2 linked regions of the Saccharomyces cerevisiae S288C genome follow. The gene in region 1 interacts genetically with each later gene. Each region holds a gene or a part of one and is shown in the gene's direction. Other genes may lie near its edges.

Evidence for each region.
Region 2: mutations in MAD1 (region 1) and SLK19 together harm fitness more than expected from each alone (negative genetic interaction), as found in Saccharomyces cerevisiae (6 studies listed by BioGRID, with this or other methods).

Annotation. Positions count from the first base shown.
Region 1 is NC_001139.9:344,699-350,607, forward strand, and holds MAD1 (coiled-coil domain-containing protein MAD1), read left to right. Parts: upstream 1-2,420; coding exon 2,421-4,670; downstream 4,671-5,909. Other genes in the region: MF(ALPHA)2 (Mf(Alpha)2p), read right to left, coding at 93-455; YGL088W (uncharacterized protein), read left to right, coding at 1,138-1,503; E2 ubiquitin-conjugating protein MMS2, read right to left, coding at 1,708-2,110, 2,196-2,206; LCL3 (Lcl3p), read left to right, coding at 4,918-5,742. UniProt on the Saccharomyces cerevisiae protein: Central component of the spindle assembly checkpoint. Thought to recruit MAD2 to unattached kinetochores. During checkpoint activity, MAD2 is relayed from the MAD1-MAD2 complex to the mitotic checkpoint complex (MCC).
Region 2 is NC_001147.6:710,958-715,831, forward strand, and holds SLK19 (Slk19p), read left to right. Parts: upstream 1-1,908; coding exon 1,909-4,374; downstream 4,375-4,874. Other genes in the region: PEX27 (Pex27p), read left to right, coding at 1-619; TOA1 (transcription initiation factor IIA large subunit), read right to left, coding at 726-1,586; LIP5 (lipoate synthase), read right to left, coding at 4,636-4,874. UniProt on the Saccharomyces cerevisiae protein: Has a role in spindle assembly and stability. Required to ensure a timely exit form mitosis. Essential to maintain pre-anaphase spindle polarity. Associates to the plus ends of the microtubules at the kinetochore and spindle midzone.

The DNA of each region.
Region 1 (5,909 bases):
ACTACTCAGATTGAAAAGAAAATAAATAAAACTAGGTGTTGTATGAACGTGAAAGAAATCGAGAGGGTTTAGAAGTAGTTTAGGGTCATTTTTCAGTACATTGGTTGGCCTGGCTTGAGTTGCAACCAGTGCCAAGCATCAGCGTTGGCCTCTCTCTTGTACATTGGTTGGCCTGGTCTCAAATTTAACCAGTGCCAAGCGTCGGCAACAGCCTCTCTTTTCGCCAAAGTGGTGTTTTGCTCTTTTTCAGCCGCCTCAGCAATAGTGGTGTTGATAAACAATAGCCCACTGGCGGTAGCGTTACTGAATGGTAAAAAAGCTATGTCATGATCACCTCCGAAATCCAAGTATCCAATAATGGCCTCGGCTGGCACCTGAGCGATATCTTCATCGGAACTAGCAGTGACAGAAACGGCCGCTAAAATAAAAGTGAGAAAGGTAGAAATGAATTTCATTTTCTCCAATATGTGAATTTACTGGAATTTGATGCAGGTGATGGTAGTAATTATCCATTATATAGAATATAAAAACAGATATAGGAAGGACACCTCAAACTACACCAGAATCAAGGACAGCTTTTATACATATAAGCCCTCGTCTCTGCGCTGTAAAGACACCAAGTTTCACTAGGTCCACGGCGACTCTGTACTGAAACAACTGAATATTTGAAACAGTAACGATGAATAGTTTGGCTCGATACCTTGAAAACAATCACTACAGGCGTCGCCCAGATGCGCACATCGTTGCTGGCATTGATGTACCAATGAAGAAATATAAGTGACAAACTTTATGAAAAGATAGAAAGAGGTTTACAAGATAAGAGAAAAATTATGCTGTGAAGATTAGTAATCGAAGTAACTGCTTATTCATTCAGTGCATGTTTTTCTAGGAATGCGTTTGATATGGGACATACATCTTACTATGCGACATTACCTTTTAGGGACATCAATGAGCAAGTGAACACTAGCAAATTAGGAAAACAACTTTAGCACGCCCAACTGCGTACTGAAACGCAGAAAACTATAGAGTTTCCCGAAACGGTGACAGCTGAGTTCGCTCAAATAAGAACAACACCATGTCTTGAAGCTTCTTCTATAGCGTAGAGTAAGTAGTGCCTTGTAGCCCTACCGTTTTACAATGCATGAGGTTACCCGCACTTATTATTTTTTTCTCTTTTTTTTTCTTAGCTATAAAAGGCAGATCAATGCAGCATTCATTGCTTTATTTGACTTTCCTTTACTATTTATTTACTTTCCATTTCTTATTTTAGTGTTATTTTATAACAGTAACGCAAATTTAACAGCCATTCGTAACACGTACAGTATCTCGTCGAGGTTGAACCCCTCCGGGGCGTTCTTGACCCATGAAGAATGTGGATTGGTGTTGCAATATATTTATTATTGGCTTGGACTGGAGAACAAATTTATCGATCTTGGGTGCAACAGTCTTTCTGTCGTCTGTTTTTTAGCAGATCTAAGGGTTTACCTTCGTGTGCCCGGATGAGGACCGTTGCAAGGATTGATAATACAACTATATACATCATTATCGTAGTGAATTGCACGAGTAACTTCTCGGCATGGGGTGAGTAAATTCATATTATGAAAGTAATTAAACTTACTACCTAAATAAGAGGATATCTATGTCTTATTGCTTGTATATATGAGTGGCTTGGAATGCTGCAAATACTGTTTAGGAAAAAGTAGATAACTAAAAGGTTTCTCCTTCCTTCGGTTGACGCAATTTCTTGTTCGCTGGGGTTGCCATTTCCTTTCTAAGATCAAGTAATAAAGTTTCCATGGTGTAGGCTCTTTTCCAGTCACGTAAGGTGTGGAAGTCAGTTTGGACCTCCCCCGTAGTTGGATTGACGCATGGTAGATTTATCTTGGAAATGAAAGTGACCTTTGGGGGAGAATCTGGATAGTTTGGGCCACAATCTATAGAAAGGGAATAGATTCTGTTTTCATGATTACTATGAGGGGGCCCTAAAATAGTGCCGTTCCATTTGGTCATGGTAATATCGTCGCTATCAGCTAAACCATAACTACATGATTCTGGACCAAACCCTTTTTCACCCTTTTCTAATTCTTCTAACAACCTAAAATTTCTTGGTCTGATTTACAATAGGACAGTGAGGGTACATTTCAAGAATTTGTTAGTATATGTTGAAATCCCTTTCAAAACTTATAATAACATACACTTTTGACATTTTTGTGTAAACGCTGCTTTCTTCTACGTTGCATATACAGAATAAGAATTTCACCACGACATCGAAATGTAATGAGCAGAGATTGTGTAGGAAGTTGATCTTATTTTAGTCTCTTATTTATCGCTAAAGGAGCAATGAAAATTGATAGCGTGTTACCCTAGGAATAATTCCTAACAATTTTTTCCATCTTAAAATCGAGAGGTAATAGTAAATAATGGATGTGAGAGCGGCATTGCAATGTTTCTTCAGTGCATTGAGTGGACGATTCACTGGAAAAAAATTGGGACTAGAGATCTATTCTATCCAGTACAAAATGAGCAATAGTGGTGGGTCCTCTCCTTTCTTGGAAAGCCCTGGAGGTTCGCCCGACGTAGGCAGTACAAATGGACAAAGTAATCGTCAGATTCAGGCGTTACAATTCAAGCTCAATACTCTACAAAATGAGTATGAGATTGAAAAATTGCAGCTACAAAAACAGACGAATATCTTAGAAAAGAAATATAAGGCCACGATTGACGAATTAGAGAAAGCATTGAATGATACAAAATATCTTTATGAAAGCAATGATAAATTGGAGCAAGAGTTAAAGAGTTTGAAAGAAAGATCAGCTAATTCGATGAATGATAAAGACAAATGCATAGAGGAATTGCGAACAACCCTCCAAAACAAAGATTTAGAAATGGAGACTTTAAGGCAGCAGTATGATTCGAAGTTATCAAAGGTCACTAACCAATGTGACCATTTCAAGTTGGAAGCAGAGAGCTCTCATTCGCTACTGATGAAATATGAGAAAGAAATAAAGAGGCAAAGTGTGGATATCAAAGATTTGCAGCATCAAGTGATGGAAAAGGATGATGAATTATCTTCGGTAAAAGCATCTAAGATGATAAACTCACATCCAAACTACTCCACCGAAGAGTTCAACGAGCTCACTGAAATGAACAAAATGATCCAAGACCAAGTTCAGTATACTAAAGAATTGGAACTAGCGAACATGCAACAAGCCAATGAATTGAAAAAACTTAAACAATCCCAGGACACTTCTACTTTTTGGAAATTAGAAAATGAAAAACTACAAAACAAATTAAGTCAATTACACGTACTCGAAAGTCAATATGAAAATCTTCAATTGGAAAACATAGATCTAAAATCGAAATTAACCAAATGGGAAATTTATAATGATAGTGACGATGATGATGATAACAATGTTAACAACAATGATAATAATAATAATAATAAAAATGATAATAATAATGATAATAATAATGATACAAGTAATAACAACAATATTAATAATAACAACAGAACCAAAAATAACATAAGAAATAACCCTGAAGAGATTATCCGGGACTGGAAACTTACCAAAAAGGAATGTTTAATTTTGACAGATATGAATGATAAGTTAAGATTGGACAATAACAATTTAAAGCTACTGAATGATGAAATGGCTTTAGAGAGAAACCAAATACTAGATTTGAACAAGAATTATGAAAACAACATAGTAAATTTGAAAAGATTAAATCACGAGTTAGAACAACAGAAGAGTTTATCTTTCGAAGAATGTCGATTACTGCGCGAACAATTAGATGGCCTATATTCCGCACAAAATAATGCTTTACTAGAGGTCGAAAATAGTGAAACACATGCGTCAAACAAGAACGTAAACGAAGATATGAATAATTTGATCGATACTTATAAAAATAAGACAGAAGATTTAACAAACGAACTAAAGAAGCTAAACGATCAGTTATTATCAAATTCCAATGATGTAGAAACACAAAGAAAAAAGAGGAAGTTGACAAGTGACCAAATTGGTTTAAATTATTCACAGAGGCTCAACGAATTGCAACTGGAAAATGTAAGTGTCTCGAGGGAGTTGAGTAAAGCACAAACTACAATTCAGCTACTACAAGAAAAATTAGAAAAGTTAACTAAACTAAAGGAGAAAAAAATACGTATACTGCAATTACGTGACGGCCCCTTCATAAAAGATCAATTTATCAAGAAAAACAAATTACTTCTTCTAGAAAAGGAAAATGCAGATTTACTTAACGAATTGAAAAAGAATAATCCAGCAGTGGAAACAGTACCCATTTCTGTTTATGATTCACTAAATTTCGAGTTGAAACAGTTCGAACAGGAAGTTTTTAAGTCAAATAAAAGATTTTCCAGACTAAAGCAAGTTTTCAATAATAAATCTTTGGAGTTTATTGACGTTGTAAACTCATTATTAGGTTTTAAATTGGAATTTCAACAAGATAGTCGTGTGAAAATATTTTCCTGTTTCAAACCTGAAAAATATTTGATTGCTGATCTAAATGAAAACACTTTGAAATCTAACCTTGATGCAGATATAGAAGGATGGGATGATCTCATGAATCTATGGGTGGAAGATAGAGGTCAACTTCCGTGCTTTTTGGCAACAATAACATTGCGTCTGTGGGAACAGCGACAAGCCAAATAAGTGTATATACATTTCTAATAGATAATAGTAATCGGTTTTATAATATGATAAACTCCTATCCGCTGACATAATTGTTGGTCACAAAATTCTTTTATCTTTCTTCATCATTGACCTTTTATGATTCCTTTGGTATGCAAAAAAAAAAAAATTGTGTTGAAGAATAAAAACAAATTACAGAATAAGTCACACATGATATAAAAAGAAGCCCAGTTTTTCATAGCTATTAAGGGGGCATAAATGCACTTATATGAGGGAAGGTGATTCTAATTCAAAAAAATCTGCGGATGTTGCTGTCCTCTCCATCATCCTTACGGGTTCGACCTTAACATTGATCTACACATATAAAAGGTATTTAACTCAATTCAAAAGAACAAATGATATACCGCGAAGAATATTTCGTAAACACTGGCTTTATGGTAAAGTCACGTCTGTAGGTGACGGGGACAACTTTCATTTCTTTCACATGCCAGGTGGTATAAGAGGTGGATGGGGATGGTTACGACCCGTCCCACAAATGATCAAGAATGATTCTACGGCAGAAAAGCTTGTTGGAGATAGCAGAAATATGAGGTTTTTCAATTTCAATTGGATTACGCATGGGAGGTCCACCAAAAGTAAAATACAAAAAGCTAAAAGCCAGTTCTTGAAGCTAAATGTACCTTACAAAAATAGGAAAAACCTGCCAACTATTCCTATAAGATTATGTGGAATCGATGCCCCAGAAAGAGCACATTTCGGTAACCCAGCTCAACCGTTTGGTAATGAAGCTTTAATTTGGTTACAAAACCGAATTTTGGGAAAGAAAGTATGGGTCAAGCCTTTATCTATAGATCAGTACAACCGTTGTGTAGCTCGAGTGTCATACTGGGACTGGTTTGGTGGGTGGAAAGACTTAAGCTTAGAAATGCTCAAGGATGGATTAGCGGTTGTTTATGAGGGTAAAGTAAACACAGAATTTGATGATAGAGAAGATAAGTATCGATATTATGAATTTTTGGCAAGATCTAGAAAAAAGGGACTGTGGATCCAGAATAAATTTGAAACGCCTGGTGAATATAAAAAACGTATTTGAGTTTTCGAGAGGATTTTTATCCATCATACTGCAGATTTTCATATTATATGTTCATTAGCTTTTCACGCTTCCTCTCGATATTTTTTTATTTATTTTCGGTTTCATTTTTGTACTAGTAGATAAAAATACATACATGATAGCAGTGTTATACAATTGATATTCGTAAA
Region 2 (4,874 bases), on another chromosome or scaffold:
GATCAATTTATATAAAATTATCAAAAGATTTCGCTGGTTGAGAGAAATGAAAAAACTACATTATAAAGATCAATCAATTTTATTTTATTTTAAAAATTTCCGGTTTTTCGACATTATTGAAGCTTTTTATAATTTGACAGATGAGTTGATACTGTTCCATAAGCTACAATCAATGTTTGGTAAAAAGAACACATCACATGCAAATACTAATAGACTAATGACATTCGTCAAAGAACAGCACTATATCTTATGGGAAGTTTTAAATATTCTTGCTATCAATAAAAACATTGAACAATGGCGACAGCTAATAAGAGATGAAATTTATTTAAGTATCTATAATACCAGTGGTAATGCAATAAAGGAATACGAGTTAAAGTACAAACTACCTACCAATGACAAAGTCAATTTGGAGTTACGGAAAAATAATATTACATTGGATTTTTATAAGATAATACTAAACTTATTGTCTAATCTAATTAATATTAAAGGTAAAAGGGACAAATATAACTCAGAGCTAGCTTACGAAATAATTTCAGTAGGTTCCGGTGTTACTGAACTCCTTAAGCTATGGAACCGAGCCAAAGTCACTTCGGCTAATGAACATACAAGCGCTGTTTGACAACAGATGACCAAGTTCGTTGCATCCCTCTTTATTTCGTTTTTTTAGTTTGATATTATAGTACTTGTATATATACATTTTTTCTTCTTTACGTCTAAAGATTTAGTTATACCCACTCCGCTTCCACTTGAGCTTTTTGGAATGTGTAGTCATTTCTATTGATGGTCACCACACCATCTTTCAGACTACATTTCCATCTCGCCTTTGTTCTTGTGACTTTATCATATAAGCACAGCATTAAGTTCTCATCTGGCCCATCCTCTTCACCCTCCGAAATTAGATAGTCATCGTCGGAATCATCTAGTTCTGAACCGACCTCATCCGTATCTAATAATGCACTTCTTTTTTCCTTCTTCGCTTGTAATTTTACTTGTTCTATCTGCTCCTTTTCCTTGCGGGTTTTTTCCACGTCCTCCTCCTTTTCCTCGTCGTCTTTCTTCTCACTTTCATCATCTATGTTTTCGACGGTAGTTATATTGGCATTATTAATAGTAAGTTCTATTTCCGGTTTTACTTCAATTTTAGGCTGGCTAGTTACGTCCGCATTTGTATTACCACTAGTATTTGTGTTCAAGGTAGCACCTGAATTATTAGTTGCTTCTACCGTATTCGTATTAATATTGGTCTCTCCAGAGTGCGGTATGTTGTTGTTGGAATTGATATTTGGCAAAATTAGACCTTCATTACCGGTATTCTCCTCCTTAATATTGAACTCGCTAGAATTTACGCCGGGGGTAGCAAGATTGAAATTTAAGTCGTTCTGTACACCATTGATATTTCCTTCATTGAACTGATTGTCCCATGAAAAAGTAGTTACCTTCGTCTCTGTGAGCTTTTTTTGCCAAATATTTTTTAGGTCTTGTAAAGTTTGTTCATCGATACCCGCATTTTCAAAGTCCTCTCTTACTTCATTTACCACAGACTCTACGATAATCTCGTACACTCTGCTGGCCTCTGCATTCGACATGATATCCAACGATGTCCCTTGTGTATGGCCTTGATTTGTGTGATACTATCGCTTTTCTTCTTTGAGCTTGCCCCCGATAATATGCCGTATGGCTTTATCCACCTTGTTATTTGGCTTCTTCATCTTTTCTTCAACTGTCTCACATCATACTTGACGAAGCTTTTTTTCGCGTTAATTTATATTCTTTATTTATTTATTTATAATTCAGAGTGTACGATGAGTTCCTCTTTAATGGTTCATTTGAAGGACACTAACTAAAAAGAGCATCATTGGTGTCAAGGGGCACCCAGTTAAAAAAGGTTTTGAGCACATATCGTAATTCATGAACGAAGTTCCTACCACTCCAGTTAGGCTTATTTTAGGGCAAGCTCAGCAACGCGAGCAGAATTCAGAAAACTGTTCGCAAGAACGTAACCCACGCACGTTTAATTCCGAACCGGATTCCAGCTTTAACTCTCCTGGTTCCTCCCAGTTCGTGATACATCCTCATGAACCGCTCGAGAAGGAGAAAGATGAGAAGCAGGATTTAGACCGCTCGATTGATTACGGTAGGTCATCAGCTCTTAACAACAAGAATAATGCCAATCCATTAGAGAATATAGACATAAATAAAATGTTTGATGACAAAAAATCAGATTCAGGTACCAATGATGATAAAGGAGGCGCAAGTACTAGTGATAAGCATGTCCTTGCATTGAATTATTCACCGATCAGAGTTGAAATGAACTCCTCAGAGAAACGAAGCGACAAAAACGTGGACGTAGATGAAAATGATAAAGAAGGTAGCCATATTAATAAAAAATTGAAATTGCAGTTAGAATCAGTACCTGATTTGAAACAAAGCTCTACTAAAGATATCATTAATGACAAAGAAGAAATTATGTCGTCTCCAATGGCGATTGATATGATTGAGACCAACATAAGCCCAAATAAATTCATAATAAACGACGGAGTTGAAAGAAACGATAGTTTCAATATCAATACCGACACACTTAAATTAGAAAATGATATAAATGAGAAACAACAAGAGGAAGACTTCATAAAATCTAACAGTAACAATGTGGTTAATATTGACAATGCTTATAAGGAAAAGGAGGACGAAGAAAATGATATAACAAATTCTCATATAAACAGGCTTACTCCTTTGTATGAGACTTCTGCAAGGGAGTCGAACTCAAATGAAGAGGGGAGGAATGACTACGATGATGACAACCAACTTGATATTAGACATGACAATTTTCAGATTGTAGCAAAAAGAAACGAGGAGCTCACTGATCAGATATATCACTTAAATCAAATGTTAAACTCTTTGATTTCCAAAAATGAATCATTGTCTTTTCAATACGAGAAATTGAACAAAAATCACCAACTACTAATAGATTTGACAAATGAAAAGTTAGATAAACTAAATACAGAAAGAGAGAGCGATATTGCCAAGGTGGAAAAATTCAAAAAGAGGATTAAGGAGTTGAATACAGAAATTAAGGTATTGAATTCCAACCAAAAAATATTACAAGAAAAATTCGATGCCTCAATTACTGAAGTAAATCATATAAAGGGCGAACATGAAAATACTGTCAACACTTTGCAGCAAAATGAGAAAATTTTAAATGATAAAAATGTAGAACTGGAAAATATGAAAGCAGAATTGAAAGGCAATAATGATAAATTATCCGAATATGAGACCACGTTAAATGACTTGAATTCTCGCATTGTGCAACTGAATGATAAGATTGAAAGCACAGATATTGTTTTGAAATCTAAAGAGAACGAACTAGATAATTTAAAATTGAGTTTGAAGGAAACTTTATCGATTTCTAAGGACTTCAACGACTCTGACCTTATAGGACAAATTAATGAGCTAATATCTACAAAAAACAACTTGCAACAAAAAATGGATGATTTGAATAACCTGAACGACGATAATTTGAAGGTAGTACAGGATAAATTAATTAAAAATGAGGAGACGCTAAAACTAAAAGAAGCTGAAATTGATTCATTGAATAGTGAAATGGACGAGCTAAAAAAACAGATCACTTCAAAAGATGATGAATTTAAGATGTGGCAAAGTAAATACGAAACTGTCGAAGACGAAGCTAAGATACGCAATGCCGAAGTTACAGAGTTGAACGGAGATATTGAAGATCTAAAGGAATCAAAATTGCATTTGGAAGAAACAATTACGGAACTAGAAAACAAAGTTCATAAACTAGAAAATGAGTGTGAACTGGAGAAACAAAAATTCGAAAAAACTTCGCTAGAATTAGAAAGCTTACAACTAAAAAATAGTAACATTCAGGCTGAGCACATCAAAGAATTGGAAAATCTTCATGAAAACCTTATTTCTCTTCAAAATGAATTGAAGATTTCATCCGACAGGATAACAACATTAACAAAAGAAAATGAAGTATTAATGGAACAAAATAATAATAACAATAATAGCGTTACTTTAAGCAATGATCAAAAGGATAGAGATGATGAAAAAATTAAATCATTAGGAAAACAAGTACAAGATTGGAAAGAAAAGTATGAGGCCAAAGAAAAAGATACAAATAAAAGGCTAAAGTTATTAGCAGAAGATTTGTATATCCAGTATTCATCCAAACACGAACAAAAGGTCAAACTGTTGAAAAAAGGCTATGAAAACAAGTACCAAAATAAGTTTGATCAATTAAATTTAGAAAATAAAACTCTGTCAGAAGAAATCGAGCAATTGAACAAGCAGCTGTCTTCAGAAAGAGAAGAAAAGCAGGAGTTACTCAAGTTGTTAGAAAATGAAAAAAAATAAACGCATTTTTTTCTTTTGCATTTTATCTTTTCCCTTAATATGTCATGAGAATAAAATATTAAGGATATACCGTAAATATACAAATTCGTATCGAATATTTGATATTGTTTCCTAACTTTTCTGTGTTAAAAATAAATATGCAAAAACATACTAACCATAAAAATAAATAAAATACAAGATATAAATAAATAATCCAGCAAGCAAAGACATTGCGGTCCATGCCATAATTGTTTTCTTCCAACTATTAGATTTCAGTGTGCATTATTTCATGTTTCTTTTCTTCAAAACGTTCTCAATAAATGCTTCACCAGCCTTATATGACGATCTTACTAGGGGTCCAGATGCACAATACAAGAATCCCATCTCTAAAGCTCTCTCTTTCCAGTAGTCAAACTTTTCGGGTTTCACATATTCTACGACTTTCATATGTCTCTTGGTTGGCCTCATATATTGACCAAATGTAACAACATCACATTGAATATTGCGCAAATCCTTCAAAG